Bombyx mori: one gene and its partner. The protein of the gene in region 1 interacts with the protein of each later gene in a pairwise test. Links are inferred from orthologs where the notes say so. Each region holds a gene or a part of one and is shown on either strand. Other genes may lie near its edges.

Region 1 (3,664 bases):
GTGCTATGTTGAACATCCGGAACACCGGGATGCTTGACGTAGCCGATCCTTCAAACACGGTCATTAAGACGTTTAAAGGCAAACATCATTCTGATAAAATTTAGATTATTTAGTCTGGTACGGAGTGCGTGCGATAATAAAATGTGTTATCTATCATTATCTTGGGGCATGACTACAAGACCTCGTTTATATTGGCCAACAGATGTCTGGAAATGAAGAAATTAAATTCTCGCACGCGCGATGAATCAACGGCATACGTTCGAAAAGTTTGAATCGAAACGGTAAGTAAGTGAACATGCAGTAAAGTGAAACGTTTGCAGGCTCGCGAGCCGTTACCGGGTGCGATACGCATGCGGTCCCGCTCGACGTCGGGCGGTAGCGGCGGCGTGCAGTCAGAGGGGGGCGGGCCCCCGCCGCGCCGCGCGCACCCACCGCCGCTCAGCACCGCCGCCTCCGAGCCCACGCTGCCCCACGCTAGCGTTATGCTCGCGCACCTCCTCTCCGCCCGACACTGTCAGTCGTTTTGCTATTTCTGCATTCTACTGTGCGTTTCAAATTATAGCGGGATTGTCAGTCCAACCTTCCATTACTGTGTACATTGCGCGTTCCATTACTGTGTACATTGCGCGTTCCATTACTGTGTACATTGCGCCTTCCATTACTGTGTACATTGCGCCTTCTATTAATGTGTACATTGCGCCTTCCCTCGCCGAACCAGTCGCTTGCGACGAAGGGCTCGACGAGTAAATTAACCCATAGATACGGCCCACTGAGTTTCTCGCCGGATCTTCTCAGGGGTTTGGTTTCCGATCCGGTGGTAAATTCTGCGAAGCACTACTCTTGCTATGGCCAGTGTTAGCAACACTCCCGGTTAGAGCTCCGATAGCTCACCTACTCGCCCGGTTATGCTGACCTAGCCTCAAGGCTACCAGCTTAGGTAGGGAAAAAAAGCGGGCCAGTAAAGTCAGTTTTGGGTCTAATTTTACACCGACTGTTCGATTCATGTTAACAAACTTTGATTGAAATGTAACTGGCAGTCTCGATCGTCCTTAAAAATTATATAACAATCGGAATATTTCGATATTTTTCTAAAATCCTAAGTTCACTACCCAGAATACTTTCGTAAACAAAAAACAAGTTTACTTCTATCATTACATCACTCGTTATTCTTCAGTACGCACGTAGAACTATGGAAGCTGGTCAATGTAGCTTTATGACAATCTTCGTCGTGTTTGAAACACATGGTGTCCACGTCTGTTACATAATTTAAAACTAATTCATGTATGTTTTGTTTCATGTACTAGATTACTTTATTCATTCGGCCTACCGTTTTATTTCAGCTCAAAGTTTATACAAACTTAATAGTAATGAAGATGTTGCCGGGAGCTCCGATCCCACCAAGTCCCCGATTAGAAGGGGACAACCGTCTCCGATCGGTAGTGACGTCATGTCGCCCCTTCCAGTAAGTCACATTGAAATTTGTTTGGGGATCTAAGTAAAATGGTTGACTCGCAATGAATAATTACGGCTTATGTGAAGATAACATAAACGCGCGCCCGACTTGTCGAAGAAAGATAAATATAGACTAAAGGTTAAGCAGTAGAATAAATAATCTTAGGATAATAAAATGACCGTTGCACTGGAGTTATAAATAGTTATTGTTTTTAATTATTATTTCATAAAAATAATACTTTACATGCTTAAGCCGCATGATCATTGGTTAATTAATGCCACTCAATCATGCTAACTAAAATTACAGCCGGCAATAGAAAACTAAGCTGAAATATTTTCTTGATCATTAATTACTTACTGGTGGTAGGACCTCTTGTGAGCCCGCGCGGGTAGGTACCACCACCCTGCCTATTTATGCCGTGAAGCAGTAATGCGTTTCGGTTTGAAGGGCGGGGCAGCCGCTGTAACTTTACTTGAGACTTTAGAACTTATATCTCAAGGTGGGTGGCGCATTTACGTTGTAGATGTCTTTGGGATCCAGTAACCACTTAATACCAGGTGGGCTGTGAGCTCGTCCACCCAACTAAGCAAAAAAATAAATAAAAAAAATTCTAATTCTAATCACAAAATTCGTTTTCGCCTTTGCATGCGTTCCCTAATTTTTGAGACTTAAAGATTTATTGAATTAATGAACACTTGTGTCGACATATTTTTCGGTTTTTTTTTTTCCTGTACTTAGGTTCATTATCTTTATATTCATAACTACTTATTATCTAAGTGAAAACGATAAAAAAAAACTTTAAGGCATAACACGTATTTATTATCTATACAATTTATTTGGATGAATACTCTGTGGTTTACTCTTTAGCTGCAAATTAATCAAATCTTCACGGTGTAAACCACTTTATTTATTACTAGCTTTTGCCCGCGACTCCGTCCGCGTGGAATAGTTACTTTGGCATAACGCCAAATTTTACCCCCCACTTCATTTACGTAGAAAGTGAAAATATTTGGAAACATTCTTTATTGGTGCTCCACTTGTGTTGGTCTTACCGTAATGTTATATACCCTATAGCCTTCCTCGATAAATGGGCTGTTTAAAACTGAAAGAATTTTTCAAATCGGACCAGCAGTTCCTGAGATTAGCGCGTTCAAAAAAACAAACTCTTCAGCTTTATAATATTAGTATAGATATGCATGCATGATCTGCGTTAGGCATGCGAGAGAGGTTAGACATGTTACATGGTATAACCTCTTACACCGGTCACTCACATGCGCACGAATACGCAAACCCGCAAGTGTAGGACGACATTTGCAAATGATTATGCAAAGTTTTCGCTACATTCGTGGTTTTCCAAGCTGTGTCGGTTTTTTAACAGACATCAAAGCGCGCGAACCGTGAACCTTCGCGTAGTCTCCCACACATTCGTTTGCCCAGTTGCGCCGACGATTGCGAATTTAATGTACGTATCGCCATTTTCATAGTTCGTGACGTCTACCGTGTGGCGTATCTTCATCAAAAGAAATCCCATAACAACGTTAATGATGTCTGGGAAAGAATTCAAAACTCTTTTTCTCTTCAATGTTCTATTGACGAATTAAAAAGGAGAAGAAATTCGTGAGACATTCGTAAACAAGTGTAAGAGGAAGCGCAAACGGGTTCGCAAATTGAGTATGCGAACCCATTTGCACAGCCGCTAGGTTTGCGAATGAATGTTTGACGGCTCTTCATGTACACGTACAATGTACGAATGTTTGCGCGCATGTCAGTGGCCGGCATTAGGCTACCCGCCAATAGGTAGGGGGGAAAGACGTTGTTTTTGTTGTAATTTTCATTTTTCATTGTATCAGTATATTGTTGTATCGTGTATGAAACTAACGACTATGTTTGCATGTTTTGTACAATGGTCAACTAATCACGCCCTCAATATTGTGATATTCTGGTCCAATATATTATATTTATGTTTACGGCATTTGCGACACAGGATCATCATCAACAATCATAGTTTGTGAATGTTAAATGTGCAACGTTGTACATTTTTTAAATCCGTTTACATAAAAAGCGTAGGCAGCGGCTTGGCTCTGCCCCTGGCATTGCTGAAGTCCATGGGCGACGGTAACCACTCACCATCAGGTGGGCCGTATGCTCGTCTGCCTACAAGGGCAATAAAAAAAAATTTTTGAAAAAAAAGTGGAAATTTAGACCTTCGAT
Region 2 (3,724 bases), on another chromosome or scaffold:
TCCGTCAGCCTTTGCTCATTCAGACCAGGTACGGAATGTTGAGCTTTAACAATTTGTTCATAATTTGCTTGCATTATACGAAGAGCGACAACATCTTTACGCAATGCATTGCGCTCTTCTTCCTGTCTACGACGCTGTTGTAACAAATACTGGATGTAGTCAATTGATTTCTGAAGGACCTGCAAGTTAGGTTAACTTATTAAGAAGTGTAAGCTTTTTTTTTTCCAGAGTTTAAAATTATAGACAGGATAGTAATAGTTACATGTAATAATCAAAAGAAGCAAATATTAAAAAAATATGGTTTGTATGTTACTTGAACAATGCTGATATTTTATAATTTGGTTTATCTGATTGAGGAAGGATGATTTTTTACACACACAGTTACAATGGTGTTGCCCAATTTCACTGAGTAATACATCAATGGTGCATGCAGGCTTTTTTTTTTTTTTATAGTTAGTTAATAGTTCAAAAACTGTTTAACTGTAATATGTTTACATTTAACAAGCTATCTATTTTATTTACTTTGTCTGTTTATTAATTTAAGTGATTACAGCAGTTTTTGTACAAGCATTTAGGTAAAAATCAGTCTCAATTGATAATCCAGCCCAAAATAAATAAAATAACTAAAAACAGAACAAATTAAAGTGAACAAGCACTTTTAAGGTTTATTGATTAATTGATATTATGGACCATATGGTGTTATGAAGAATCTGGAGCTTGAGTCATAAGGTTTAAGTCTCAATTGCTTAGTATAACAGCTTTTCTACCTTTCAAACTAGACTGCTCTGTTATGGAAAAACGGCAGGAACGGCAGTTAATGAGAGTAGGTGTTCGTACTACGCTGGTTTAATAGATACTCGGAGAAAATATACAACAAATAGGCAAATACCACACAGCCAGAGTTTGAATAACAGGTTAAAAAGCTTGTATACCAATATTATCCTTTCTAAAAATTTACTTCAATTATAACCTTTAAGCTACGTTTAAGGTTAAGACACAATTATTAATGAAGTTAGAATGCTGCCACCCATTGTGAGATAGAAGTTTCTAATTATTTTTTAAGATAATCTGGGATAGCTATGATCACATTATATAATAATAAATATTTGCGCAGCAGTCCTCAACTATAATAAATATCATTATTTGTGATAACACAGCCCTAACATATCTGAATGATAAAGTCTACAAGGTTGTTCAAATTTCATAAAATTGATAACCTCTTATTTACACATTTAACAATTAATTTGATAAGAAACTTAACATACTGCAGCTTTGCTTGGTTTGTAGCCAGACGCATCACTCTGCTGACAAGTAGGCACAAGGTCTTGGAGTGAATCATAGCCTTTCTTAATTGCATCTCTTCTTTTCTGCTCTGCCTGAAAAATGTAAAAGTTAGATAAAGACTATTATAAAACCAGTATTTTAAATTAAAATAAAACTATCAGTTCTTGTTCTTTGAGTGCCCAAAATGCACCCACAGGAAGAAGTACTCCTGATACCTAATAGTTAATAACAATTATGTATTAACATAGAGAGAATATGAAAATAGCCCAAAGAAAATATATAGGAAAGTCTACTGAGTATATTAAGCCAATTCTTTTTTTTTGTTTAGTGATAGTGTTTACTTTCACATTCAACAAGTGTGCATTGCTACAAAAACTATCATTTCCATTTAGTAAAAGATTAATAATCTGTATTATAAATTCAGTAGTCCATTTAATTTTTGTTAAATCATCTCTTAATAGCAGTGATTAGGTGATATTACTAACCTGTGTGTGAGCTTCCCTTCTTCTCTCTTTGAAACTGAGTGCAGATGCCTTGTTGTCACCACTGTCATCTTCATCCTCTATACAAAATAATAACATTCACAGTAGGTACAAATATATTTCATCCATTTGTTATCAATGAGTGCGAAACGAAAATACAAATATGTCGCTTAAACAAAAATATGTAAAACAAGTTTTAGAAAAAGTCATTACCTGTGTTTTGATTTGAGGAGGACGGCGTTTGATGTATGTTTTGAATAGATCCGCTACTGCCACAACGAGGATACATATTGGGATATTAATTGTTATAATGAAACTTTAATAAAATAAAACATTACATTAATGCGATCTTTCACTTTTCGGAGTTCATGGTGCCTTGTTCCATTATTTCTATGTAGGGTATGAAGAATACATTGATAACATTATAAATATAAGATAGTCTTGGACAAGTACTTCATGACCCGAATTAAATCACTTTTGAACCATGTGGTTACGTAACATTTACGTAACGTAATACTAAAATCAAATTTCAAATTACTGATAACTAAAATACAGTATTATTTCCGACTTTTGGTACAATTACGTACATAAGTACCTACATAGGTAGGTACGAGAATTACGTTTAAAATTATTTTTTTAAGGGATTTTATGACCTGGTAACTAAGACCTTTAGGTCATGTCTTACTTTACTTTATATTCTTATTTTTATGAAAAATGATAATATGGAGTGAAATGAAATTAAGATGATTAATTTGAGACGTTAATCAACTGGGATGAAATGAAATAAAATAAGATGATATGGGTTGAAATATAATCTCAGTAAAATGGTGGTCATTTACTGAGATTTTTTCAGTGGACATTTTGGAGGATCTCGAGAAGTTGCGTCCGGCGGCTTTGTTTCGTTTTCCCACATTTGTGCACTTTCATAGATATTGAACAGTTAATAAACCACCGTTATTACACATTTAAATCTTAAGAAACACTAAATAGACAAAATGAATCAAATCACACAACTTCACTCCTCGCATTCCCGCCAAAAAGTCAACGTTTAAAATATTTATGTCACAGCACAGATGACTGTCAACGTCAACATTTTCTTTTTTCAATATGGCAATCGACTGCTCATGATGCCAGTTCTGCAAGCAACAGAAAATACACATATGAGTAATTTTAATTTAATCAAGCTTATAAAATCTTCAAAATTATGCATAAATTAATGTTGTAGTAGTGCTAGTTATATTTATTTATTTATTATTATATATTATAAAGGGTGTCCTAGAAAGGGCTTAAAAAGCCAAAAGTTCTAGGCAGTGTTTCTCAAAAATTAACATGTGATATCAGTTTATTAAATAAACACATACTGACGACAGTCACAACATACAGAGTTCTTACGAGTTAAATTTCGTCTTACATCTTTTTTATTGAATTAGTAGAATCTAACTCCAATCGAAGTTACTGGCGTGCTTAGCGTGCGTGTTGAATGATGGGCACTAATTCTTGTTTCAAACAGGATAGGAGGCCCAGGATTTGTCCTTCATATGTCAAAGCTGTTTATTCACATAATAATATCAAAGAATGAGTTCCGCTGCGATAACAACATAGCATCAGATGAGCCGAATGTTTATCAAATAACGTACAAGAGTAAAATAAGTATAGTATAAAGAAAAAAATTAGTAATATTCACCATATTATGTATGAAAGCCGTGGTGTTGTATTTTTAAAATGTTGCAAATTGTTGCATTTTAAAGGAATCTACATTTATTTATATATGAATTCACTTTTCGGCTGTTAAATATTAGAAAATTTGCTAATCTTCTAAAATTGATTAATGCGAATATGTAATGAATTGGAATTAAGCAAGTTGAGCTAAAATGAAGTATAATAATAATAATATAAATATAAAGGGTGGAAATTTATTTATTTATATATATTATATAATTGTATATTTATTTATATAT

Evidence for each region.
Region 2: the proteins of carbohydrate-responsive element-binding protein (region 1) and max-like protein X interact in binary tests that used the Caenorhabditis elegans proteins (3 or more experiments, as listed by UniProt). The link is inferred for Bombyx mori from reciprocal best matches to the Caenorhabditis elegans genes mml-1 and mxl-2.

The regions. Positions count from the first base shown.
Region 1 is NC_085116.1:9,455,163-9,458,826, reverse strand, and holds part of carbohydrate-responsive element-binding protein, read left to right. Parts: intron 1-320; coding exon 321-513; intron 514-1,340; coding exon 1,341-1,462; intron 1,463-3,664. UniProt on the Caenorhabditis elegans protein: Transcription factor that binds to the E box motif 5'-CACGTG-3', probably in a heterodimeric complex with mxl-2.
Region 2 is NC_085115.1:6,336,018-6,339,741, forward strand, and holds the start of max-like protein X, read right to left. Parts: upstream 2,805-3,724; 5' UTR 2,056-2,804; coding exon 1,980-2,055; intron 1,847-1,979; coding exon 1,770-1,846; intron 1,377-1,769; coding exon 1,266-1,376; intron 180-1,265; coding exon 1-179. UniProt on the Caenorhabditis elegans protein: Transcription factor. Binds to the E box motif 5'-CACGTG-3', probably in a heterodimeric complex with mml-1.